4 linked regions of the Mytilus edulis genome follow. The protein of the gene in region 1 interacts with the protein of each later gene in a biochemical or structural test. Links are inferred from orthologs where the notes say so. Each region holds a gene or a part of one and is shown on either strand. Other genes may lie near its edges. The genes, in order: serine-protein kinase ATM-like, cAMP-responsive element modulator-like, serine/threonine-protein kinase Chk1-like and serine/threonine-protein kinase ATR-like.

What was found.
Region 2: of the proteins of serine-protein kinase ATM-like (region 1) and cAMP-responsive element modulator-like, one has a biochemical effect on the other in vitro, tested with the Homo sapiens proteins (2 studies listed by BioGRID). The link is inferred for Mytilus edulis from reciprocal best matches to the Homo sapiens genes ATM and CREB1.
Region 3: of the proteins of serine-protein kinase ATM-like (region 1) and serine/threonine-protein kinase Chk1-like, one has a biochemical effect on the other in vitro, tested with the Homo sapiens proteins (2 studies listed by BioGRID, with this or other methods). The link is inferred for Mytilus edulis from reciprocal best matches to the Homo sapiens genes ATM and CHEK1.
Region 4: of the proteins of serine-protein kinase ATM-like (region 1) and serine/threonine-protein kinase ATR-like, one has a biochemical effect on the other in vitro, tested with the Homo sapiens proteins (2 studies listed by BioGRID, with this or other methods). The link is inferred for Mytilus edulis from reciprocal best matches to the Homo sapiens genes ATM and ATR.

The regions. Positions count from the first base shown.
Region 1 is NC_092353.1:10,605,745-10,613,180, forward strand, and holds the start of serine-protein kinase ATM-like, read right to left. Parts: upstream 3,004-7,436; 5' UTR 2,910-3,003; intron 955-2,909; 5' UTR 930-954; coding exon 861-929; intron 318-860; coding exon 192-317; intron 1-191. Other genes in the region: c-Myc-binding protein-like, read left to right, coding at 3,318-3,332, 6,187-6,259, 7,246-7,294.
Region 2 is NC_092345.1:72,167,805-72,175,246, forward strand, and holds the start of cAMP-responsive element modulator-like, read right to left. Parts: upstream 3,020-7,442; 5' UTR 2,873-3,019; exon of another isoform or gene 2,612-2,872; intron 572-2,611; 5' UTR 560-571; coding exon 383-559; intron 1-382.
Region 3 is NC_092348.1:28,491,853-28,498,732, forward strand, and holds the start of serine/threonine-protein kinase Chk1-like, read right to left. Parts: upstream 3,005-6,880; 5' UTR 2,848-3,004; intron 652-2,847; 5' UTR 626-651; coding exon 555-625; intron 76-554; coding exon 1-75. Other genes in the region: triadin-like, read left to right, coding at 6,750-6,880. UniProt on the Homo sapiens protein: Serine/threonine-protein kinase which is required for checkpoint-mediated cell cycle arrest and activation of DNA repair in response to the presence of DNA damage or unreplicated DNA.
Region 4 is NC_092347.1:17,916,304-17,923,472, forward strand, and holds the start of serine/threonine-protein kinase ATR-like, read right to left. Parts: upstream 3,024-7,169; 5' UTR 2,918-3,023; intron 1-2,917. Other genes in the region: archaemetzincin-2-like, read left to right, coding at 6,450-7,169. UniProt on the Homo sapiens protein: Serine/threonine protein kinase which activates checkpoint signaling upon genotoxic stresses such as ionizing radiation (IR), ultraviolet light (UV), or DNA replication stalling, thereby acting as a DNA damage sensor.

The sequences.
Region 1 (7,436 bases):
CATATATGGTTCTAAAGAATACACTTTCAATCCATAGGTTTTGATAAGTATTGAAAATCAAAATGCACTTTACATGAGAAATAAAAGTTTTAATTTTCCAAAAGCTAGGAAAACAATATAATATAATAACTAAATTTTATTATGTTGAGTCTTATAACTTCTCCTCCTTCAAGTCTCATTGATTTACTTACTTTGAAGACATAATCCCAAGTTAACTGTTCATCAGAACTTCCAGCATTCTTACTGTCTGTATATCTATCCAACGCTTTGATAACAGTACTCTTACACAGTAACTGACGAAATTTCTCTGCACTTTTCTAAAATAATGAAACCAAACCAGGTCATTTGTAAAGAAGTTAAAGGAAATAACAATCCTAATTTATAACATAAACACCTTTCTTGTAGAAATAACAATCCTAATTTATAACATAAACACCTATCTTGTAGAAATAACAATCCTAATTTATAACATAAACACCTTTCTTGTAGGTACTAACACCCTGAATAATATAGTTTACAAACAGAAGGTGGAGTTAACTGGGGGTGACATCATGTGTTCATCCTTCATTATATTATGTGGACTTACAGTGGAAAACAATGCTTTACCCCAGCATTTTGTTTCAATTGATGAGTGTGAAATCAAATGTAACTTGCACTGAGTATGGCTGTGTATTCTGGTCTATTTCATTAAAAAAATCCTAGTTTATGAACCTTTCGTTCAATTTAGAGGTGTGGTGCCCCTCAATTTACCTATCACTGGGAGTTGGGATATCACACTTTTTGAAATAACTTAGGGTTCAGTTAATTCAAAAAAAAAGATTTACAAACATAATATAGTTGTTGTATAAAAAGATACAAACCTTTCTTTCTGTTATTTTTTCTAACAACAGTCCACGACAGCAGGAAATCACATCTGATAAGCTATCCATTTTTTCATGTTAATGATATGCAATTCTAAATTGAAATAAATGGTTAAGATTATTACCAAGTTATTAAAATATTTTTTTTTTATAATTGAAAAACATTCAGTGAGCAAGCTCTATAAATTTGTTTATAAAGAGTAACAGCTTATAGCTTAAACCACAAAGCAAAGAAATACAAGTAAAACTTATAACTATGAGGGACAAATAAATATATCCATCAATTGTGATATCTGCTTTCTCTCTCAGCATTGGTTTTGGAATAAATAATCAATAGCAGAAAATGATATGTTGATAAAACTTAGTTAATTATATATGTTTACATACATGTACAATTTTCTTATACCTTGGCTTAGAAAAATAGATGGAAAACAGTGTACTTTAAAATTGAATAGCTGTAACTGTATAGTATCATAACTATTTGTTATAACTGGGAAGAAAAAACACAATCACTAAAGCTACACACAACAACTAGAAGGCACACATAATTTTAAATGAATATAATTTACCAGCAAAATTCAGTGCATGTAAAGTCTGCATACAAAAATAAAGAGGTGCAAATTCTATGATTTAACTAGTTTAATAAATAGTTTTGTCCATGTTAGGGAATGACTATTTCACTTCCAGGGGGGTTATCATGGTTATTGTTTTTTTTCTATCTCCACATTGATGTAAAAAATAGTGATCGAGCAGATGACAAAAAAATTATTCTTAATGCAAATTCCTCCCATATCATCTGATCATATGGCTGAACATGCATGTTAAAGTACATATATTTTACAAGTTTTAACCTCTTTCTTCTATGCCTATGGTCTGATCATTTGTTTTCATACATAATATGAATTTGTACTATGAATGCTTTTTCAATAGAAATTGTGACGTCACAATGCATTTTTAATACCACGAAAACCCATGAGATGAGGATACATTTTACCATTTGTAATACATTTTTCATAATTAAACACTCCAATTTTGTCCCTATTGACATTGTAACCGGAGAGCATAAGTTTCATTACAAAATTGCTTGTCTCCACCGTGACTCGAACCGATGACCTCTGCCTTACAAGACAATGTGCTAACCGATTGAGCTAAAGAAGTACTTCCTTAGCTCAACCGCTTATAGAATATCTACCGCATTTTCTAAGGGAAGCAATCCTGTCACACTTCCCCAACCTCACGAGTCATCATACCATTATGACTCTCACACACATTACCCTAGCTAGAATTCCTCTCTAACTTATGTGGGTTTTTTAGCTGGGCGCCAATGTAACCGGAGAGCATGATTGATTGTTGGTTGCTTTACGCCGCATTAGCACAAAAAGGCTATATCGTGGCGTCCGGAGTGCATGAATTTCATTACAAAATTGCTTGTCTCCACCTGGAATCGAACCCCGAGACCTCTGTGTTACAATGCAGTGTGTTAACCGACTGGGCTAAAGAAGTACTTCCTTAGCTCAACCACTTATGGCTGACTAAGTATCTATACCACATTTTCTAAAGGAAGCAATACACCTTATCTCTATTAGCCTTATCGGCCGGCTGAACCAGCCGCTTGAACTTTTGACGCATACAACAATCACTTTTCCATTGTGGCTTCAGATATTTTATTTTATGACGTCAAAATTTTACGGGAACCAGTGTGATATCCAGTAATGGCGGACAAATAACGATAAGGTGTATCCCGTCAAAATAGTAATAGTATAATTTGTTCCTGTGTAATCTATTCAGCAGTTTGCACTTGATTTATGAAGGGTGAGATTGTCTCTGTAACTCTGTGACAACAGAAAAAATAAAAAATGAAAATAAGTCAAGGAATGATTGAGGGCACTGACTCAGTGACTGAGGCAGTGCTGGCCTGTCTCTTTAAAAGACTTAAAACCGAAAGACCCTTCTTCTTCTTGCTTTTTCATACATGTCAGGAAAGGGGAAAATAATCTTAACAGTGTCATAAAGCAACCTAAAGTATTTAGTAATTCATTTTTAAAATACCGTTGAATAATTAGAGAAACACCAATCATTTTGAAAATGCCTCCAAAACTCAAAAACAGACGATTTTTTTTCCTACATTTTTCGGGTCTTTTCATCAAACAAATGGATAAAGCTACAAATTCCGAAAAACGGAAGTTAAGTTTGACCGTACAAACTAAATGATAACTACTTTGGCATTTTACATTATAACAAGAAAACATATTATTTTCTTCCGCAGTTTTACATCAAACCAATCTTCATTGAACTTTTAAATTTGACTTGATCGTTTATCACAATTGTAAAGTTTTATTTGAGACCTGTTATCATCTAGGTTCTTCACCGGTCACTGCGCATGTTACCGAAACCTTGATAGCAACCATTCCTAACTGGACCTGTTTGAAACGAGATTGAAGAACAACATCAGACATCATGACAACTTACAGGGTATACTTTATTTCAAAATTGGCGTAAAATAGTCTTCTTCTCTGTTTAAATAACCGTATAGTTTCAATGGACGAACTTGAATCAAATACAGTAAAACTAATTAAAAACTAAAGGTGACCCAGGACAGATTTTTCAATCTTTTCTGAATAATTCTGTTTAAAGTCATATATTGCAAATTAGTTTGACTGTTATTCTATTCTTGTTAAAATATTGGAATAAAGTATAAAAGATGTGTTTTGGTAATTAGAAGAAAAAGATAATGGGATAAGTTTGTTATGAAAAAAGGAATGTCTTACAAATTCAAGGAAGTTATATCCCAGCTTAAATTAATGTTGCGGTGCAGTCCGGTGTATCTGCACACCTAAGACTTTTGACTTCACTTCATTCAACAAATAAAACCAAAAATTGGATAAAATTGTGTGAACACTTCATAACATACTTTTATTTTATAAAATCTTCTGTTTGTATGGTTTCATCCTCAGAATTTTTAGTAATGTGTGTCCAAAATTAGGGAATCCCCTTTTCTGAGAGTTCCTCCAATGTCTGGTGATTTCTCGCATGCCTTACAAAAATAGGTTATTTTGAATAAAAGAAAGATTTTATACTACTAAATGTAGCTGAATTTGAACCAAACAGTGAAACACACTGCCAAAGATGCCAATGGATGCAGAGCAAAAAATTATTTCATATCATAATTAAATTTGACTTAGGTAAAACAAATTTTATCTGATGATGTATTTTTTTAATGGAAATTGACCAAATATGGTAAATCAAGGAATTGCAGTTATTAATGAACTCTTGAACTTATCAATTTTATTCTTTTTTTTTCCCTTCAGAAGGCTTAAACAATAACAAGAATGATTTTATTTATATTAATGTGTTGATATGATGAAATCAGCTAATGTGCGATATCACAGGCTGTGGGGACTCCACTGTTAGTGTAAAGTCAGTTGTGGTCTCCAATTTTTCAGAATCAAAGTAAAAGACTATAGAGGTATAGGGGAAGGGTTACGATCTCATAGACCTGTTTAACCCTGCCGCTATTTTGGGCCTGTCCCAAGTCAGGAGCCTCTGGCCTTTGTTAGTCCTGTATGATTTTTAATTTTAGTTTCTTACGTATTATTCAGAGTTTAGTATGAGGTCCATTCTCACTGTACTAGTATACATATTTTTTAAGGGGCCAGCTGAAGGACGCCTCCGTGTGCGGGAGTTTCTCGCTACATTGAAGATTCATTGGTGGCCTTTGGCTGTTATCTGCTCTATGGTTGGGTTGTTGTCTTTTAAATCATTCCCCATTTCCTTTCTCAATTTTATGTGTAATTTTATTGTGAGTACAACAAAATTGAAAAGATGTTCAAGTCAATCAGTCTGCACCAAAACTTTACCAACTTCTACTACATTTACTTCTTCTAATCCAAAGACTTAACGGAAAAGACCAATATTTTGCCATTTTTCATTATGTGTCTGAACAATGTTTTGCAAATACTTGCTAGTCCAAATAGAATTGTTCTAGTCTGGGACATTGGATCAGTGGCGAACGGTATAGACAGTCATTGTTTAGGATGTTTTGAACAAATTATAGCAATTGAGTGTACTGTTAGATTTTGAAAGTATAATTCGACAGAAAGAATTACTCCATTAGATTCTGACACAGCAGCGACAAGAAGACAAGTTTAGCAACTAGAAGTCAAATCTAGCATCACACAATTTTATAGTCTTATTCAAACAAATAATGTTAAAAAAAAAATACAAACTTAATGAATTTAAGTTTAGTTTTTATGGCCCCGCCACTAAGTGGTCGGGACATATAGTTTTACCCCTGTCTGAAATTCCAAAATTCCGTCATTCCACAACAAACCATTATACAGAGTTTTTTTTGAAAACCGCTTCAGATATTGGGCTGATCTTTGGAATATAAGTTCTCCATGATGAGTTACAGATCAAGTTTAAGTTTTGTTCTGCTTCGCTAATTTTTGACAAAATTATGGGCTTTGGACTTTGATAAATTGTTGAAAATCACAGTTATACAGACTTTTTTTCTAAACACTTTCAGATATTGGGATGATTTTTTGGTTTGTGAGTTATTCATAAGTTACAGATCAAGTTTAAGTTTCGCTGCTCTGCTAATTTTTGCTGTAATTTTTGGCTTTGGACTTTAATAAAATTTTGAAAATCGCTGTTATACAGACTTTTTTTCTAAACGCTTTCAGATATTGGGCTGATTTTTGGTATGTGGCTAACAATGATGAGTTACAGATCAAGTTTAAGTTTTGTTCCACTCCGCTAATTTTTTCTAAAATTAAGGGTTTACAACTTTTTTCTATACGCCTCCAGATTTTTAGCTGATTCTTTTATATGTGAGACTACCATCATGTTTGTGTCCACATGTGTAATTGAAATTGCAGATTTTTCAATTTTTGGAGATGGGGCCATTCGTGTCGCTTTGACACATCTACATGTAGTTTGTGTATATATAAAGCATATCAACATGATCAATGATATATAAACTAAAACAAGGAATTATATGAATCAGAATTAATTTAAATTCTGGATAATAGCTCTGGGTCAACATGTACAGTTTATTTTGTATTTATATCAAAACTTATTTAATATGAAAATTTGTAGTCTATTGTGAACATTCTCCTTTCTAAAAAATGTATTCTTCTAAATTATATTTCACCATAAATGCAGAAAAATAGTTTTACTGCCACCATGGTCATGCTGATGTTGAAGGTGGTTTTTAGGTGAAGATTCAAAAGTTCATGAATAATGATACAGTTTCCTTTGAGACTAGACGACTTGTTTCTACAAATTTCTTGCAATGATCACTTATGAAATAAAATTTACACTGTAGGGAGCTGACAGCAAGAGAGAGGAGTTCAGAAAATATTTAGAGAAAGCAGGTGTATTAGATGCCTTAACAAAAGGTATGATGCATAAAATAAATAGACAACTTTCGATTTGGATGCATTTCCGTCAAAAACTCTGGTTTTAGTGAACGTCATTTGTGCGTTTAGGGGCGTCGTCACTTCCATTCCAATGTTGAGCGAGTAGTTGGAAAACTATAATTCTATATTGTACGAATTATTCGGCAAATTGAATTCTCAAAATTGACAATCAGCATTGCTGTCATTAGGGAATTGTCATTAAGTACCTACAGACCAACCATTATTTGTAGTTTATCATGCACTATGACGATCACTAAGACGCTTGATGAACGTAAATGGTGCAGGGATACAGGCGACCCCTCTATCTGTTAAATGACGTCATAAAGGCGCGTATAATTGACAAGTTTTTTCCGGCGAAGGATGAACTTAAAAGTGGTCTTTTAGATTAATACATACTTATTTTTTTTGTTATTTCAATATGCATGTGTATGCTTAAGACTAGTCATTATAAAAACCAATTTAAAATCTGTTAAGTTTACATATGTTATTTAGTAAAAGTAAAATGGATTGGACTCATAATATCAATCAATAATTAAGAGTCAAGCTGTTGAAAAAAATGGCAAAAGTAATAAGTGGAAAATTGGTAATGATGATGCATGGTGTGAAGGAACTGCAAGTACACTATTAGGTACAAATGTACATGTATCATATGACAAGAAATATCTCAGAGTTTTTAATAATTTTTTCTCAAGGTCCATTATGAAGCAGAGATGTCATAATTTTCAGTAGTAAAAGAATTCTGAATTACACATTCAGAAAAAAATGGTTGAAATCTTTTTTCATGTTTATACTGCATGTTATAGAAGGCAGCAAACACAAAGACGCTATTATGTTTGACAGTTGTAATGTCTTTTTATGGTCTTTCTATTATTTCCATACTTCACACATATTTTAAGTATTTCTGTTTGATAAATTTATGTAGTATCAGTATTATGTAATTTATGAATTATCATTTTCTTTTTCAGTTTTGGTTGGGTTGTATGAAGAACCAGAAAAGCCAAATAATGCATTGGAGTATCCTTAAAATAATTCAATGGGCAAATTTGAAATTAATAAATTATACTTATGGTTAATTGAAAACATTAAAACAAAAACATCTACAATCAAATTAAAACACTGATTTTGTTCTCTGTACGTTATTTAAATTCATCTTCGT
Region 2 (7,442 bases), on another chromosome or scaffold:
CAATTGGGGATTTGATGGTCGCAAATTAAGTTTACTGGTGACGCGTTAGCGGAGACAATAAACGGGTGTTTGCAACCATCAAATCCCAAATTGATGCCGTCGGAGCTTAAAATACAATATTGTTATCTCCATTCTAATGAAACTGACAGAAAACAACGTTAAAACATGTATTTAAAAACTGTCATATGCCGTCTGCGCTTGTGCGTACGTCCCATAGCATCAATTGTCAATTGATGCCATGTAAGAAAGTGACGATATCCAATCAAAAAGAACGTTACAAACGTTGTTGCATTAGAATCCTTCTTCATTGTTTTACCATGTACATTTGTACATCCATTTTAAAAATATCTTTCCCTTTCTAGTCTGTTGGATTAAAACTTACCCTTACAACCTGTATAGTCTGTACATTAGGTCCAGCTGTTTGAATGACTGAGGGTTGATTTGGGTGTATAACGGACTGTACTTGGATTGGTGTATTCATGGACATCTGTACAACAGATAAGCCTTGGGAAGTATCCAGGTCTCCATGAGCATGATGAGATGGATGTACCTCTGTCATCTCTTACGGACTCTGAAAAATATAATAATGAAACTAAGATAAATCAGAGTGCCCACCCGTATGTGATAGAATATTTCTCTTGTGGCACAGTGCCACAAGAACAAGAGAAATATTCTATCACATACTCCAAATAGAATGAATAGAAAAAAGACCATCTTTTTCAGTTTCAAATGAAGTATTTGTATTTGTAACAGTATTAACACATACATACATTTGACCAGCTGCCAACACATAACATACATTACACAAACATAAGTATAAACGTGTATTTTAATGAAAAGAATCTAGCATTTGACAAAATATACAATGTATACTGGTATATGGTGGTAATTACATTGTATGCACCCAACTATAAAACTGGTACATGCATATGGTGGTAATTTAAATTACATTGTATGCACCCAACTATAAAACTGTCATCTGTTGTAGTTACACACAACTTTAATGAATCACACATCACCTAGTCTGGGATCAAAAACAATTTGTGCTGAAACCAGTGAAGGTTGCAATGGACATGGAAGAAATCACCTGACCAACTTTTAGAGTGCTGTTTTTATACTACAATAGCTTGACAAACATGTATGCAAATTATATAAGATATCATTAATAGTATCAATTAATAACCAGATAATGATTTACAGCTCATGAAATTGGAATAAGAGAACAGTTTTCCAATTCCATTGTTTAATATAATCACCAACGCATATAATTTATCTGTTTAAGAGTAATAACTAAAATATATTTATCCTACAAGAAATGTCAAATTAATGTACACACAAGATTACTAAACAATATTAATTTCTATGGAAAAGAGGCACAATATTGTTGTACATGTATGTCACAATTTCGCAATCCCCCCCCCCCCCCCTTTTGGTTGGTAATACAGGGAATCACTGAAACATGATGGGAGGAGGTCCCCTCTTAGGCAGTCAGTGGACCAAAATAGACTTAGTAGTATTTATATTGTTTAATTGCAGAAGTGCTTACCAGTATACATTTAAAAAAATAATATGAATAAATTGAGAAGCATGACAAATCGCCCCACTAATGAAAAGAGGTAAAATCTGATACACAATCAAGGGGAATAAATTCTGAGGATTTTGATGACAAATTCTAACATGACGACTGATTTTAAGATTTATGCATTGAACCAAATATATGATCTTATCATTATTTGTCTGCCAATTATACTGGACATTAAAATTTTAAAAAGGTTGCCACAAAATGGAAAATTTTTAAAGGGATTGTTGTATGACAGTTTAAAATCCAGTGTAGCAGATTTCCAAATAGAAATAATGTCTAAAGACCTTATAGCTAAATTAGACTCTGAAACACTTGAACTAAATGTATTGATGTCATAAATGTACATGTTCCTCCTGTTTTGTTGCATCAAAACATCTCTTTTGACTGGAATGTTTGCATGACCAGTAATGGATGGACAAATAATAGTGGTGAGAAATATTTGCACTTTGAAGTAATTTGGTGTACTTATGGGACCAACAGAATAGCTTATTGTCGACCACTGATGTTCCCGTAAAATTCTATAATCAGTTTTTTATCGCAAGAGAAAATAATGCCATAAAAAGAAAAGAGTATTTAAGAGTCAATTCCAATGGCTCAATGTCATTGATTTTCCAATTGTCAATAAGACCTTTACAAATAACACAGTAATGTCATGGCTGGTGATAGTGGTGTGCACTAAATCAACCTCATACAGGCATGCGCCGGAAAGTAATCCTCAAAAAGTTGATGGTATTCCCTAACTAAAGAAGAAGAGAAGAAAGAAGAAGCATGTTTGATGTCAGATTGGACAATTTTTGCAGGACAACAAATTATGATTTTATTTTATGTTAAATTTGACAAATATAAGTAGTCTAATAATAATCATATAATGTATACCATTATAAACATGATATAAACAATAAACTATACTGTTTAGATCTGTTTACTCTTTATTTTGAACTGAAATATAACTGGGTAATGCATTTTAGATTTGATGTCGAGTAAAATATGCTGAGTTGCTTCTCTGACATTTTGCTTAGTGAAACTGACCCATATTCTCTCTGCATTCTCCTGTTCTATTTTTACTTGTTGAAAAGTCCGATTTCCAGAGTGGGACAAGGTACATCAACAATCTGCTTCTTCCGGTTAATCTTCTGAGTCAGCTGTTGTTGCTCTCACAAAGTTCCTTTTGTGATATAAATCACATTCAAAAATTTGATTTGATCGTTTTGAAAATAATGATCCCCTCCGAAGATAAGCGTATTCTCTGTTATCAACTTGTTTGTTTTGTTTCGTCAGTGGAGTACTTACTTGTTACGTACTTTTCGTCACCAATTTTGCAGTAATCGGAGTGGATAAATTTGCAGAATACGTAGTCGCCACGTCAAAATCTGGCTGCAGCGTCACAATCAGGAACAACAAAACTGCTGAATAATATATTCATCCGCGTGGATTTCCTATTGCACGATACCTGATTGGTTAACTTATCTCACATGACGTCATACTGTCCAAATATAGACCGTACTACTTTTTTGTATCTTGCGGGTATAAAATTTGATTAAATTCAAACTGAATTTGATAAATTACTTTTTAAAGAATTATTTTTCTTTCAAATTTAATAATTAACAATCTGTTGGTTTATACATAAATTTCAATTTCAACGTTTCATGTGTTTTTATTATTGCGGCGTAGTTAGCTGGTTTGGTATTTAGTAATTCGCCAGGAAAGATTCAAAGTACTGTCACCCGAAATACACGGGTGTCTCACGGGGAGTCCTATATTATGTAATTTGATATGTATTCTGTCATTTATTGGATTTTCATTTTTTGTTAAAATCTTTATGATCCCCAGGGGGCCAAAATTTGTTAATGAAATTGATATTGTCTTATCCAACTATAGGCTACAAATCATTTTCTTATCTTATAATTACTCTAATTACTATAGTAATTAATTAATTGCCTCAAATTCGAAAGTTTTAGATTTTAGTTGTTTATATGATTCCGATATCCACAGCCCTATAGATATAGATGTCGACATATATAAATGTACATGTGAATATGGATCTGTGCCGATTAATTCGATGAGCGGAGAGAAAATAAAGAAATGGGATATAAACAAGAAAGAAGATTTTATTATAAATTTAAACAGAGAAAAGATTTCTGAATTAGAAAATTATCTTGAAGAAACCAAATCTTTTCATGCTGATTCAAACATTATTAACAAAGCTGTAGAAAATATTACGAACATATTTGTTACTTCTGCAAAGAAAACATGCGGAACATTAAAAAACAAGTCAAAGAACGAAAATACCCCTCAGAGTACAAGATCACAAGATGAAAAACCATGGTTTAACATAGATTGTAGAATTGCTAGGGAAAATGCGAGAAAATACAGAAGAAAATATAAATTAAACAAATTCATTGTAAACCATGAATATGAAACGCAGTGAAAGACAATACAAAAATACCATGAACAGAAATATAAAAAAGTATAGGAAAAATGTGCGAAATGATATGAAAAATATGAAAAACACGAACTCAAAAGAGTACTGGAAAATTCTAAATGGAGGCTCTAGGAAGAAACAACCTAATATTTCATTGAAAAACTTTATGATTTCTTCAAAAATTTAAATCAAGGAAATATAGAAGAAGAACAAGAGCTAAACTACGAAGAGATTGAAAGAAATATCGAAAATAATTTATTAAATGAAATGATTACGCCCGATGAAATAATAAGAAATATAAAAAATCTTGAAAAATAACAAGGCAAGCGGTGATGACCTGATTATAAACGAATTCTTCAAAGCTACGTCACGGTGTGCTTCAACAGAAATCGTTAATATCTTTGTAAAGTTATTCAATCTTATATTTGATACAGGAATCATACCAGACAGTTGGTTATCTGGAAATATACATTCTTTATTTAAAAATAAAGGAAATCAACAAGATCCGCAAAATTATAGACCAATCACTATTCTTAGCTGTTTTGGAAAACTGTTTACGTCCATCCTAAATGAACGATTAACGAAATATTTTGAAAACTTTTCAATAATACATAACAATCAAAGTGGCTTTAGGAAAAAATATTCAACAACAGATAACATGTTTATATTACAAAGTCTCTTCGACCTAACTAGATCGCAAAAGAAAAAGTTATTCTGTGTTTTTATTGATTTTGCTAAGGCGTTCGACACAGTTTGGAGATGGCATTGAATCACATTGATGGAACAATGCATACATTAATTAATACATAGTATGTACAACAATATAAAATCAAGAGTTATATACAATAATCAAAAATCTGATTTTTTCCCCATGTAACACTGGAGTTAGACAAGGGGAAAATCTTTCCTCTCTATTATTCTCGTTATATATCAATTAATGACCTCACTTTTTTTTTCTATCACATAATGTGAAAGGTTTGTCATCAATATCGAACTCCCCTGAAACTAGCCTCAATATCTATTTAAAGCTGTTCGTTTTATTATATGCCGATGATACTGTTCTAATGTCAGAAACAAAGGAAGACCTTCAAATGCAATTAAATTGCTTCGGTGAATATGGTGATACTTGGAAACTTAAAGTAAATACATCTAAGACTATAAAGTTTTAATTTTCTCTAAAGGAAGACAGCCTAATAATATTAATTTCATTTATGAAGAAAATGAAATTGAAATAGTGAAAGAATTTAACTACCTTGGACTATTGTTAACAAGATCCGGATCTTTCAATAAAGCAAAGAAAAGACTATCAGAAAAAGCAACAAAAGCTATGTACAACGTTATCAAAAAAGGGAGGCAGTGTAATTTATCAATTGAATGCCAATTAGAGTTATTTGACAAACTGATGAAACCAATTCTTCTATACGGATGTGAAGTATGGGGATTTGGAAAAAAACACATTATTGAACAAGTTCATCTCAAATTTTTAAAGCATTTACTACACCTCAAGAGATCTACCCCAACCATGATTGGGTACGGTAAAACCGGACGATACCCATTGGAAATAAGCATTAAATGTCGAATGATAACATAGAATAAAAATAAAAACAGTGTGGCTGTGGCCATTGTTTGACACATTAAAAATCATCCATTGACTGGGACAATTTACGTGAACGTTTGTCTGTAATGCCCGCGTCACACTGTCCCGATTTTTATATACGATGGACACCCGAATGCTGAAATTGTAAGTTCGTACGAAGTTGGTCCCGATCTCGTTAAAATACCAAAAAGTGACCGAAGCAAGTACGACGAATAACGAAGTTTATACGATGGTGCCGAAATTGTATACGATAGCAAAAGATGGACATACGAAGGTTAGCCGAAGACGGGTATTTAAGCTTCATATCTCAGCCGTAGCCTACACGATTGATCACGAAGGCTACACGATGGATTACGAAGGCTACACGATGGATTACGATGATGGCGCGATGGCCATACGATGTCTAAAAAATACGAACAGAATTTCGACAACATATCGTTCCTGTACAAGTCTGCCATGCATGGCGGGTATTCAATCTTTTTGTCTAATTCTTATAAAACTTAGTTTATTATCCCCTCGCCTACTCCATGTAAGTTGCGTGTAGATAAAATTGTTATGGACACTCTGGAACCAAAATGCTCAAAACTTGGTATGGTGTTACTCGTTAAGAATATCTTAAGCGCTATTGACTTTAAAGTTCAAAGGTCAAGGTCACAGTGGCAGTTGTAATACAAGGCAATATCCCCCTTGTGGACACTCTAAAACTAATATGCTTCAAAAGATTTTAACCACATTTGGTATATTGTTCCTCCTTGTAATGATCTGACATTTTTTACGTTCAAGGCCAAAGGTCAAGGTCATGTAGATGGACTTGTTTTTTTCTCCTTGAAATAGCATAATACCCAGGAAATTGGTTGCTCATTTTTTTACCTGCTGGTTCTAAAGACAATATTAAAGGTATTTCCAGGTACTAAATGTTTTGGTTGATTTCTAAAAAAATAGTTTATTTATCAAATATGCATATTCAATTTACCATTTTCTGCATGTGTCATATATACAAATACAGTGTCCATATTTGTCCCCAATATGTTACATACGAGGGGATGCCACGCTCGGCATTGCCTTGTTTGAACTGTAAAATGTGTGCACTAGTCTGAATAATCACCCATAATTATGCCCATGTTTACTGATCTGTCTTAAAGGTAAGGTAATGGGTTCGTTGATCCCTTTTATTCAAAAAGAGCTCTTTCCAGGAGAATATCACAATAATATAGACAAAAGGAAGGATGTGGTGAAAGCAACAAAGGCTGCAAAATATGACATATAGAAAACAAAATGGTTATGGAGTAAACATTCGTGTGACAACAACTCAGACGATACATAAAAAATCAGAATAATAAATAAAAAGTTGGTTTCCCTATATACGTGTACCTGCAGTGTTTGTGTACGAGGCGCGTTTATTTAAAGGAACCCCAGCATGTAATGATATGAAACAATCCAGATGGAAAAGGCCTGAACATATCGCTCTTATCATAACTAACGTTTTTGTCTTTTCGTGTTGTTGTTGTGAATAGAAGAAATTGAATATGTTCCGACATTGTCTAATATAAATTAAAAACTCTAAATTATTTGTCACCTTTAATTATGTTACTTGATATAAAAAATTGACAAAAAATAATATTTTACTTGTAAAAGTAAACCCTGAGCCTGTAATAGCTGATCTTCTTGTTCCATTTGAATTAATAGAAACAACGCTGTTGCCTTTCTTGTTCTCATAGAATCATATAATATGAGCTCCATGTTTTGTGAACGTCTTTCTTAACTGTCGTATTGGACTGACCAGTTCATATCGCGCATGGCACTTTAAATGTATTTTAGCGCGAAAATTAACTTTCATTTAG
Region 3 (6,880 bases), on another chromosome or scaffold:
GATGCTGTTTTCTCTAGGTTTATAATTTTAACAGCTACAGCTTCCTGGGTATCAGTATTTACTGCAAGTTTAACTCTGAAATTACAACTGCATGTATACTATGTTGACACAAAATAACTATAAGTTAAAGAGTTATAAGAGAGTCACAAATTGATATAACAAAAAGTCTGATTGATCAGTACCCAATCTTTGAGATAAATATGCATACAAATTACAATAGAAAAATGGGTTTCATTTTTTTACATAAATAAGGCCGTTAGTTTTCTTGTTTGAATTGTTTTACATTGTCTTATTGGGGCCTTTTATAGCTGACTATGCGGTATGGGCTTTGCTCATTGTTGAAGGCCGTACGGTGACCTATAGTTGTTAATGTCTGTGTCATTTTGGTCTTTTGTGGATAGTTGTCTCATTGGCAATCATACCACATCTTCTTTTTTATATTATCAATTTTTGTGTGCATTGTTCTGTGGATTTTTATTTTAAAAGATAGTATTGCATTGCTGTAAACATGGTAAGTGTCTACATGTTCTACAATTGTTAAGTTCTGTACATACTCTCCATATGCTCCCTCTCCGAGTGTCTGGACAAAGTCCCAACCTTCTACAAATGCTGTTACTTCTGTCATTGGATCATGACATTACATGTATCTGTCTACAAAGTAAAATGTTATTTGTTGTGTTACATACATGTGATAAAAGATATCATTTTGAAAATACTTTGTAAGAAACTCATACTAGACATGCTAGAAACATGACAGAGTGTACGTCTTAAGTCACTAGTTTTCTGAAAACCTGACAGTCCTTTCCAGTACTGACCACTATGGGCATGGCACTAAAAATCAGGTTGAGTAAAATGAGGTCGAAATTTTGTATATATTTGCAGGGTTTCAGCTAGGATTTTGAGGGCTTTAGTCACTTTTGCGCGTGAAAAATCAGCCTTATTTTTTTATAAAGCAAGGGATCTAGGATGTTTATCAAACTAGCTATACATATATGTCCAAGTCCTTCAAGGACTAGTCTAGGATCTTTGAAGACTTTAGGATTGCTAATGTAGGCAGTTATTGGCAATATTGAATGAATTGACTAATGTGATGCTAAGATATGAAGATAAGAACAGGGATCTGGTAATATGGTCAAAACTTCAATTCAGTTATTTTCAGGGCACACCCCTTACAAGAATCAACAAAAGTTGGGTGCCTCTATTTTTTAACCACTGCACAAATGAACTTCTAACGACTTTTCACTTCACAATCAATTATATCCTTGAAAATACGTTTTAATATCTATTTGGAATCAATTTCTTTATTATTGGATAGAAGGATCTGCATCTAAACTTAATGTGACGATTCTAATGACTGTAGACTGTAGAGCACGTTTACTTTCGATTTTTAAACGAAATGAAATGAAAACGGGAAGTGACAATTGAATAATAATTTCAGAATAAAACCGGATTCATCTACGAACTTTTACACATGCGCAATGCATAGAACAGGAAGCACCTGTTTGCAAGTGAAAATATTTACGTTTTGAATAAAGTTCATTCTTTTTAATCGAAGTTGTCGAAAGTTTTTGATGAATATTTATATAAAGTATGACGAAAATACGTTGAAATGACGAAACTACGACAAGCAAACTGCAAATTATGATCGTAAGGAAAATATTGAAATAAAAATAAAGTTGAAATGTCCGGGATGTTCAAATGACGAAAATACGACTGAACTGTGAGAAATGATTAAAATGAAATGCTGACTGACTGATTTAACTGAAATACATTATTATGATGGTCATTTATGAGGTTTTATAATGATAATTAAGGGATTAGTGACCCATCTGATTGGCGATAGGCGGATTACTTGTCATCACAACTTTTAACACCTTTGGTAAACGTTAATTACCTGAGGGTCATAAACTTGTCAGAAACATAAAGACAGGTAGAATTCAAGTAATTTGATGTGTAAATATTTTTACACTTTCCAAATTTAAGTGACGAAATTGATATGAAATATTTTCGTCATTTCGAAAACCTTTTCGTAAAATACGAAAGTGACGAGCGCTAGCAAAATCACTGATATTTGCTCAAAATTCGGATTTGTGGTCGTATTTTCCCTTTCCAAAGAAAAACAAAACTTTTTTGTTTTAAAAGATAAACACAAATTGCTTTTAGATAAATAATTTGTAATTTCTGTATTTTATAAGTACCCTAAAATTAAATTTATACATTTTTTATTCAGAAAATAACTCATATTTATCAAATGTTCATGAATGAAGAAAAAACATCATTTTTTTTAAGTTTAAAAAAATTGCACTATTTACATTTTCATGAAAATTGGCACACATAACCCCCTCGCATAATCAAACCAAATGGCATTTTAAAAAAGAGGGGTTCATAAACTTGTTTTCAAGTTAAATAAGTTTGAATGATAAAAATCTGTCAAAAACTGAATCTTTTCCCGATAAGTCATAGTTTGACGTCGTGAAAATAACAATTTACGTCAGCAACTTCATTACCTCCCCTGTAACTGTATCGTATGCCCTTAAATCTACATGTACATTTGTTTATCAATATTTGATATGGAACCATAAAATTGTTTTGCAAATTAGAAAATTAAGAGGTTAAAAACTCACAAGAGCATGTCCTTGTTTGTACAACTATGCCGACTCTTAATAAAGCTTATTTATTTATAAGATCTAATAACTGGCTAGTATTGAGGTGGTGTATGAGTGTCCCATGAATCATAATGATGTTTTATATCTGTCATAATCTGATGATAAATTGGTGTGGAAATATTAAGGTGTTTTGCTGTATGACTGCACTCAATTAACAAAGTCAGGTAAACTTTTATCTTACCATAAGTAAAACATAAGGTGTCAGATGTATATTAGAATTGCTTAGAATCAGAGTACACAGACCAAATCTCAAGTCACATTTTTCTGTTTTTGTTTTTACCGCCGATATGGATTCTAATTTTAGAACCATTTCTGGATTTTGATTCTTTTCCGGTTAAAGGAGGGTAATCTGAAAACCAAAATAATAAACATAAAAAGAGTGCAGGGAAGGGTTATAATGTTGACAGTTTTTTAAACAAACAAACAAACAAACAAACAAGTAAGGGCTTAAATAAGTTGGTGAAACCTTATTGATTTAAAAAATTGAAGGGTCAAGAAAGATATAAAAAAAAAGTTTTCCGTGTCCCTGGGACTATTATACTGATAAACAGGGACTTTCTATACTAATAGAATAGAAAGTCCCTGTACTATAATATAATAGTCTCAGCATGTCTTTAAAAAATAACTGCTACTTAAGGATGAACTTATGTGAAATTATTAAGATCAAGAATATAAAATTGATACTTTAAGTCATTGACTTTTTTAACTAACATAGCTGGAAAGTCCCTGTTTTGGTCCTGAGAAGATCATTAGTTCACTCAGTAAGGAACAAAACAAGCTAAAAATATTGATAGGTTATGTGACTGTTTCTCCAGATATTTTTTTCAATGGCGGGAAAAGACTGACTTGTTCTTTTATCATATATTTGCATTGGTATTATTTGGGTCTCAAATCAAAAGAAAAGAAATCTAGAAGTTGCTTAGATTTTGGTAAATGACCCTATGAGCTGTTGAATATAAAAAATAAAGAAGATGTGGTATGATCAGTGGCGGATCCAGGGGGTCCGGGGTTGGAACCCCCCCCCCCTTTTTTTTTAAATGTCCGGCATATCCAGAAATCAACGCCACTTTGCTTATTTGAATATTATACTAAAGAAATCGGATACGGGTCACGGAAATTACATTAAAATGATAGGGAATTTTGAAAAAAATGTCTGTTTTAATTTTAATTTAAGTGATAGACAGGTTGCCCGGGCAGAAAATGAATATACACAACAATATACACAATTTAAACGAAACATAATGACTGTTGTTGCAAAATTACAGGTTCCTGAGCTATTTTAAAAATCGAAGCGAGAGGCTTTTAACATTGCAGTGTAAAATACAGGCTAAAATGGCTGAAACGTCAAATTTGCAAACTTCGTGTTGAAAATTGGCTTACAAGGTCATTACAAAAACAGGTTGCCGGGGTGAAATATGAAACTTGAATTTCCAAAGAATAAGCAAGTCCAAACCTTGTATGTGTAGTCATTGAACTTTAGGTTCCCACGTAAAATTAAAATGTCACTATTTCAAGAAGAATAAACTCACGAAAGCACGAAAAATTCACTAAATTCGCGTTCATTGTTTTGATTTTGACCGCCTGACAACTTTACGGAAATATCAAAGTGATTGTAAATAAGGACTCTCTGACGGGCAACTTATAATATCCGTGTTTTAAAGATTTTAATGATATCAAGCCTATCAAGCCAGTCCAGTTCAAAGTACTATCACGTGGTACAATTCTCATTTACATATTATGAATATTAATTAGCAAAACCACTACTAATTTCTGGCTATGGATCCGCCACTGTATGATTGCCAATGAGACAACTCTCCACTAGAGACCAAAATGACACAGAATATAACAACTATAGGTCACTGTACGGCATTCAACAATGAGCAAAGCCCACACCGCATAGTTAGCTATAAAAGGCCACGAAATGACAATGTAAAACAATTCAAACGAGAAAACGAATGTCTGTCAAGAAGAATGTCTCTAATATCTATTCTTAATAAATCAGTATCACAAGGATTATAATCAAACGAAGATAATTTATATACTTTTGAAAAAAATTATAAATATTGGAAACTGGATAATACCCAGATGCGATCATGACAATTTCATTTCAAGGAATGTTATTTCACAATTTATAGACTTCTTTGTGATTTTATGATTTCCAGCTTCTGACATCGTCTCACATGCAACTAAGCTAATAGTACAAGTGTCTACACAACTGTTTTGATTTATAGTATCAATTTCTGATATGAGAGCTGTGTGCATTAGACATACGGATTGACTAGTGAGTGGTTTCGTATCAATCTAGTTCCTTACATATATACCAGCAGCTCACATATCAACAGGAAGTGATTCTCGGTTTCATCATTCGTCTTACACATGAAGGAGGTATTATACCATCTCGTATATAGCTTTGTTAAAACATCTCTTTCACTTTTTATGTGTACGTCCCAGTTGTCTTGTTGTAATTTTTGTATGACTGCTTCGGTTGATAGTAATCTAGATATTAGGTTAATTGCTTGGTAAGCTACATTGAAGGGAAGAGAAATTAAAGATTTGCTTGATTTTTCTCTTATATTGTTTTGACAGTGGTTTTAGATTTTTTAGTAATAAAATTTCTAAGACATAAAACATAATCGGAAATATAAATTCTTGTAGCATACATATTGCGGTCACTGGGTTTAGACTATTTTCCCCATGCAATCCTGCATACATTACAAAAGAGACATATTATATACAAGCTAAATGTATGTAATGATCTTCTGTTGGTTTTTTTTTTTAGATTTTCTTCTTAAAAGTACTTCTAGTTGAATCACTCATGAGTATCGCTTTGCATACCGAAGTGATATGTTTTGGTCACAATACTAGGCATTGGTTTTTTACCAAGTATCTTCCGCTAATGTTATTTGTAGTTGGTTTTAACTGGTAAACATAACACTTTTTTCTGGTTGGATCAGATATCCTTCGCATTGGCTGTAGTCATCCCAGTATGCCATACTTGTAAGGATGTGTACGTTAAATGGGTTATTTCCCACTATTGTTAAGTGTGACTGTCATCTATACAGGTGGGGCACAGCAACTTATCGAATCGATCTTTCAATGAAGTTTAAAGTCTACAAAGTTGGTTTACATAAACATTCAATTTGTATAAATCAGCACTTATACTTCCATTGGTCTTAATATTGCTCAGTCATGATCGAAAAATTGTAAATGATGTTTAAGATCGGGGCTATTTCACTGGTTAGTTCTATCAGTACAATTGGTTTGATGTTGTCTGGTCCAGCAGCCTTGTGTGTTTTTAGATTTTTTATTTGTTTTCTACAACATTTATGATTTGAATTTTTCTTGGAGAACAGTTTGGTCATGATTTTTGATATTTTACTTGTTATTAATGATTTAGTTACATTTGTTCGCTCACTTTTCTAAGTGTTTGATATAGGTCTAGAATCATCTTTTTGTTGCTGAACGAATGTCCTTAATTTCTTTTGGAGTTCTTATTCTTCAATATAAAAGGGGGTGGTGTATGGCACTAAGCGCAAACAGATTTGCATATTCTATCAATCAAATATTTTTTCTCACCATATTTAACCGACATAAACACTAAAAGGAATGGAGAAAATCTAGATTCAAAATATTTTTTTGTCATCTGTTTGATCAAAATTTTTTATTTCTTCTTTTAATTTGGGATCAAAACACTAACACTGATTTATTAGAATCCCCCTTTTTTTAGTTGAATAGACGTAACATATTTTGACCGACCACGCAAGACCCTCATAGGTAGTCAATGTCGTTAAAAACCCCCTCATCGACTAACATTTACGTTCTTGAAATCAGAGACATATAATACAATGTATTATATGTCTCTGTTGAAATTAATAACAAAAAAAACGTATAAATTTGTTAGAATTAACATTTTATTGGTTTTCAGACAGACCTGAAGCAACTAATTCCGTGTTGTCCGAGTTGAGTTGAAATTTAGAATGTACATTGTTATGACGACAGGCGCCAAACTATACACACATTTCTCCACTGCCAACTAGAGCAATAGATTGCTGGTGATTGTTCAGTCAGATTTACAAGAAAAACATGGCAGTTCCATTTTCAAACACAAAACTTCGCGTTCCGAAAGGATTTCAAAATGTTTTAGAAGGGCTTGCACGTGAAGTTTTGAGAAATCAACCAGATAACATCTATGAATTTGGTGCAAAATACTTCGA
Region 4 (7,169 bases), on another chromosome or scaffold:
CGGACACGGAAAGGGCTTGAATTATTCGAGTTAGGGGATTTTGGGAGTTTTTTTATGTGATTTATAATGAAATTGGGAAGACACATATACCAGAAATAATATTTGTGTGTTTAGATCATTGAAAATTATCTTTTTCATGAAATTAAGTAAGAATGTACATGATTGCTATTTACAATTTAATTTTCCATTCTTTATGTTTTAAACTTAAAAGCAAGGGAATAAACTTTATTTTTATGATACTGCCTTATTTATCTTCAAAGACAGTATCATCAGTTAACCTTTTCTCAAATATGGCCATATTTACACCACAAATTTCACTTTGAGTACAGACAAACTGTGTGCCTGAAAAAGTTCAAGAACATGGCTGGACCAAGATTAATATAATCTAAATGCATTTCTAGTTTCAGAATATAAAAAAATTATCTAGATTTTGCTATCAATTTGTTTTTCATTCCTGCTGAAGGTGCTTAAATAAACAAAGTATAATATAACAAGTGAACTTTTTATGGTAACTACTGCTCACTGATGATACCCCCGCCGCAAGTGGATAATTTTAATAGTGTAAAAATATGCAAGTGTTCGGTAAACAGAAAGTTGTTGAGTGATGAATCTGAAAACGCATTACACGGTATAGCTGACTTGTATAAATCCTGAAACCAAATTTCAGAAATCCTTGTATAGTAATTCCTGAGAAAAATGTGACGAAAATTTTCAACTTGGCTATACATGTATGTAAAATCATACAAGTGTTCGATAAACATGGTAAACAGGAAGTTGTCGAGTGATGAATCTGAAAACGCATCACACAGTATTGCAGACTTATATAAACCCTGAAACCAAATTTAAGAAATCCTTGTATTGTAGTTCCTGAGAAAAATGTGACAAAAATTTTCAACTTGGTTATCATGTGTAAAATAATACAAGTGTTCGGTAAACAGGAAATTGTCGAGTGATGAATCTGAAAACGCATCACACAGTATAGCTGACTTATATCAAGTCTGAAACCAAATATCAGAAATCCTGGTAGTGCAGTTCCTGAGAAAAATGTGACGAACAAATTTTCAACTTGGCTATCAGGTGTAAAAATGATACAAGTGTTCGGTAAACAGGAAGTTGTCGAGTGATTTATCAGAAAACGCACCACACAGTATAGCTGACTTATATCAAGCCTGAAATTTCAGAAATCCTGGTAGTGTAGTTCCTGAGAAAAATATGACGAAAAATATTCATGGGACGGACGGACTGACTGATGGACTGACGGAAGGACAGACAGAGGTAAAACAGTATACCCCCCTTTTTTTTAATTAACTATCATTCATGATATAATTTATTATAAACAACTTTAAATTTGTGAAGGTAAGTACATGTATCATACATGTATCCAGGGCTCACACTACTTCAGAATTATTGGGACTTCTCTTTTTGAAACTGATAGGGAGAAGTGGTGAGATTTGAAAGAGAAGTGCTCATTCGCGCGGTGTGCTACAATGTTTGGATTTTACTATAGTATAAAGGGTCATATGTAAATAATGTTCTTTTTATATCATGTTATATTGTTCAAACCATATCTGAGTATACAATTAAAGTAACATTTCAAATTAAAAGTTGTTTAAGTTTTACTAAGGTTCTTGTGAGAAACTACCAACTAAATATTTAATATCTAGACTAGCACTAAAAAAAAAAAATATTTTAAAAAATGTAAAGAAATTATACTATATCAATTACAATTTAATTCAAAACTATCATGTGTATGAAATTCTGTGTTTCTCATAAAAAAATATAAAAGTTATAAAGCTGTGCCAAAATATATTGATATTGATAGTATAATAGTCTCAGAGACTGAGTTAAGCAACTTTAATCAATAGTTTGATACAATCCATAAAAAAATAGGGAATTATTTACACCAATCAATAAGATGTAACCAAAAGTCTCGCAATGCGTGTGGAATAAGAAAATTTTCCATTTGGGATCAATATTTTTCTGTCAGCTGTTCCAGCGGGTCCGTAGTAATTATTGTAAAAGTAAGGATTTCGGTCATAGCTGGTCTGGTTCAGATCCATAGTTTAGAAATCGGTCAATGGCGGACGATTGCAAGAAAATTTACAAAAATAAACGATGTTTGACAAGTTATTTGGAAAGGAACATGACGTTTTTAATGCAATAAATGGATTAAACATTTACTGGAGGCAACTTTTATCATGTTTAAATGAAGTAACAAACTTTTTTGCCGCCGAAATTTAGGCTGATGTACGTTTTCGAGTAACAATCACTGGAACTTGCGGAAATGCACGAAGTGATAAAAAGTTTTATTTTTATCAAATAACCTGCTACACACTGCAAAGACAATGCTTCAACCTCTTTTCTTAAGATAATGAATCGTTTATGTCGGAATTTCTTTAATTATCAATAAAAAATTGATGTTTCATCAACTTGGTAAAAAATGAAAATGTCCGATGACAGAAGCGACTGAAAGCGAATATCGTCAAGTACAAGGCGACTTGTTTTTGTTTTTGGGGGTTAGGGAAAGCGAAGTGATGGTCGGGAAAGCGACTTCTTCGCCCAAGTCGCCTGGTAGCGTGAGCCCTGTGTATCACTACCAGTACCTCTTTGCTTAACTATACACTTTTTTATTGTTTTTATTGTAAACAAATGGCCCACTCATTTGACAACATGGCCAGTGATATTGTTGCCTTTTTTCAAAACTACCTCTATAGTTTAAGTTATCACAGATGAAACCTTTGAACTGGGGTTATTGTTAATGTTCATGCAGTCAATATAATAACTGTCCTATGGCTATGCAGTTACATCCTAGATGTTCATCCCCTTTTTTTAACAATTATTGTTACAAAAAAATAATTCATACAGACTTTGTCCCCATTTACAGGTAATGCCTGCCTCGTATTATCTTTAAAATTACCTCTCAAGTAGATGAAAAGCTATAGTGTAAAAAAATTATCTGATTATATTATTGCTGAATCTGAAAAACAATTACTTTCCCGCCGTAATTAGTTTTCCTGGTAGCCGAATTTAAATTATCGTATAGAGCTAAGGAGTAATAAAATAGGGTACCAGTTCTGACACTATTTTTACCTTTACATAGAAAACTTGATTGCACAACCACTGAAGAAAACAGCTGACAGTGACAGTACAGTTATAATTAACATGATATTGAAACGAAAGAACCACTAAACCATTTACACGTAAGATTGTTTCCAATTTTTAATTTAATTGTTTTCAAACTTGAAAAGGTACCCTTTTTGTGTCATTTTGACCCGAGACTACTATAAGTTATAACACAGTTATCAGGTTATGTCTTATAGTAGGTCCGAGACCACAATTATTTCGTAGTGCATTTCTTTAACAACATAAATGAAAATAAAAAAAATCCCACCTGTACTTTCTCAAAGAAACTTTAACAGTGTGTTGTACTACTTTTGGGACAAATTATATCAAAATTCAGGGATCCACGATGGCGGAAGACAATTTAACGATGTCGCAGGTCATTTGACGATGGCGCAAGACATTTGAACAATGGCGCAAGACATTTGAACGGCGGGGCGCCATCGTTCAAATGTCTTGCGCCATCGTCAAATGACCTGCTCCATTGTTCAAATGTCTTCCGCCATCGTCAAATGACCTGCGCCATCCTTAAATTGTCTTCCGCCATCTTTCAAAACTGTTATCGTTTTAGTAGCCCGACGCCATTTTTTTTAGCAATTATAATCAAATGCATGTAATTGCATAACCCTCAGGCTTTTTTATATTATAATCCAATACAGTTCTAACACCTGAGGGATATCTGGATTAAGATCGCTAATCACTTGTACCTGAGCTTGTACAGTCATTCTCGACTAAAGTGGGGGGCATGAAGGCTTGGCCTTTGAAGTTATACTTCTATTTTATAGTATTTACAATGAAAATTCAAATAAATATAATTTAAATAAGCAATGAGTTAGCATGTTCACCAATCCTTATGTGGAGTGATGGTATACTTTGTTCACGCTTCACTGTACGGCGTACGCACGGTTTGTGATGGTGAAATTTCCTCCATGGTTCAATTTTCATCCATGGAGATCCCTGAAGTTATAGAAAACTTCATCGGCTCTAACTCAAAATATGGACAATTTTATGTTATAGGGCGTCGTGAAATCTTTTGACAGCTTCCGAAGTGCTAATTTTAAACCTTTTTCAGCTGGACCACATCACTACTTTCCTTAAAAATTCTGGACCCAAATTTTTTTACAGTGTAATTTCACCCCCCTACTTGCAATTTGAGGCATTAAACATGGAGAAATAAATTTGGAAGGGGTATAAAAATTAATGGCAAGTTACCCACTGTCAACACTAGGGACTATATTTGTGAACAACGAAAATCAAAAAATCAAGGGACGACAATTGTGGTCTCAGACCAGTAGTATCAGTTTTGACATCTATGAAAATGAGGAGTTTGTTTATGTTGGTAACATGCTGATTTCTTTCAGTTTAATTGTATATTTATTTATCAGTTTATAGTGGATTGGGAAACAACTGAATAAGTTATGACAACTAAACAGCTGAATAAGTTATGACAACTTAAAACAGCTGAATAAGTTATGACAACTTATATCAATCCCTTTCCACTTTGTGACTGCTGCCTTGTAGCGGCATAATAGTCAGCTCTTTTTCAAAATCTACAAGCTCTTAGGAACACCAAGTTTATGTAAAAGTTTATGTCAATCATAAATAATGTTGTTGTGGTCCTAATTTGATAAATTTTGTTTGTAGTGGCTTATATATGGATATCGTATGCCAATAGAAATGCCAAAAGTAAGAACAAAGAGGACTAAAACTGTGAAGTATATACCTTATGCCTCTGGCTATGTTCCTCCTACCAACAGAGAACACATTGAAGCTGTGGGGTGTGATGGTTTTGTACCACCTGAATTTAATTGTCAGCCTGATAAAGATTTTATATGTTTCAATCCAATTCCGACACCAACAAGTATTGATGATTGGTTAGCACAGTATGTTGCTCCTGGTCAGACCTATGCTGACTATTTATCGACATGCTCATGGTTATCACCAAGTCCGGTCAATGGTATAAATCAGAAGTTTATTCCAACTGGTACAAATCTAGGTGACAAATATCCTGACGGGAAAATATATCTTTTACCGATTGGGAAATTTAGTGGCAAAGGCTTTATCCACTTCAATGAACTAGCAAGTTTTGCTGAAATATATTTAGGAATACCTGTTGTTATCCTAAATGGAATTGATATTGATGTGAATTTCACAGATAAAAAAGTTTATTGGACAAATAGTGTTTCGGAAAGCTCATCTAATGGTGAGAGTTCAATACCTCCTAGCAATATAGCTTTGGAAAGTAGATTCTATGGCAAACATCACCAGATAGGAATAGCCAGTTTGTTATATATGCTTCGTCAAAATATTCCCAAAGATGCCTTGTCAGTGATTGGATTAACAATGAGTGATTTATACAGAGAACAATCAGACTTATTTGTTGCTGGTTGGGCTGCAGGTGGAGATCATGTGGCAGTATTCAGTTTCTTCCGTTATGATCCATCACTAACTTTTTCCAATGCTTATTGGTATAATATTCGTAGAAATCAGCGTATGTCTCAGGAGCATATTCAGAAGCTTACATTCCAAAGAAGTTGTAAATTACTTGTGCATGAGATAGGGCACTTATTGGGTATCGGACATTGCATATTCTTTGAGTGTTGCATGAATGGTTCTGGACATTTAGAAGAAGATTTTCGTCAGCCTATGCATTTATGTCCAGTGGATTTACATAAACTTCAAACACTTGTGGGATTTAATGTTTTAACAAGATATGAAAATCTCCTCAAATTTTATCAGCATCATGGTATGAATGAAGAAGCTGAATGGATTTCTAGACGTATTGACTTTATAAAAAATGCACCAGTAGAAATAATTTAAAATCTGTTCTATATCATTATCACTTTCATTGACATTGTTTTAGTTTGCTACATGTACTATATATTAAAAGAATTTCCATCTTTATTTTTTATTTTGAGAGCAATAGCAGTATATCATCTTTTGTGTCAAATATAGCATTGAAAATGATACTGTTAGTGAGAGAGAGAACATCAGGGTTAATATGAACATAACAAAAATGATAGGTTTTTTTATAATCGAACCTTTCTCATCCATTGATAGCTCTTATATGAACTCCTATACCACGTGCAGTGCTAGTATACTAATATTGTTTAAAAAAAAAAAGGCTATTTATCCATTAAAATCCACATTTTTTTGTTTTTTACCAAGACTGGGAGCAGATTTAAAATGTAAGTAAGATACAATAGTCTTTTAACAACATTACATGGGAGATAACTCAATCTTATTCTGTTTACAACTATAATAGTAGCACTGTAAAGGTAAACTTTACAAAAGTGTTATGACAAACCAGATTTTACCAATGCATATACATGTCAATCATAAAAGGCATGTCTTTTGGCTTTTGGAATGCTATATTACTGTATAACATAAAACATAAGCAATTTCTCCCATTTCAATTGCAGAAACTGAAGATGCCTAAAATAAAGAAAACAAAGGTGAACAGTAAATATGTACCATATGCATCAGGATTTAGACCTCCAAACAAAGATAAACAACTCAAGGCTATTGGCTTTGATAGTGGTGTTCCACTAGAATACCATGCATTGAAACATGACAATTTTGAATTCTTCAAACCAGTTCCTAAACCTACAAATATAGATGACTGGTTAGCACAATACAATGAGGAAGGACAAACCTACAAACAGTTTCTACAGGATTGTCCGTGGATATCATCTAGGAAGAGAAAGAGTTTGAAACAGAGATTTGTTCCTGAAGGAACCAACATACTGGAGAAATATCCAGATGGTAAAATTTATATTGTACCTGTTGGAAAATTTGATGGCCATCATTACTTCTATTTTGATGAGCTTGCCAAGTTTGCTGAGATCTATTTAGGAGTTCCTGTATCTACATTGCCGGGTGTAGATCTTGATGTCAAAAGTAATGATAGAAAAGCATTATGGGTAGAACATCCATCAGAGGCAAGTCAGTTGAAAAGCAATACAAAGAGAAGTAGTTCAAGAACAAAACAACACACATTAGAAAGTAGATTTAAAGGCACTCAATATCAGTTGGGTGTTAAAGATTTA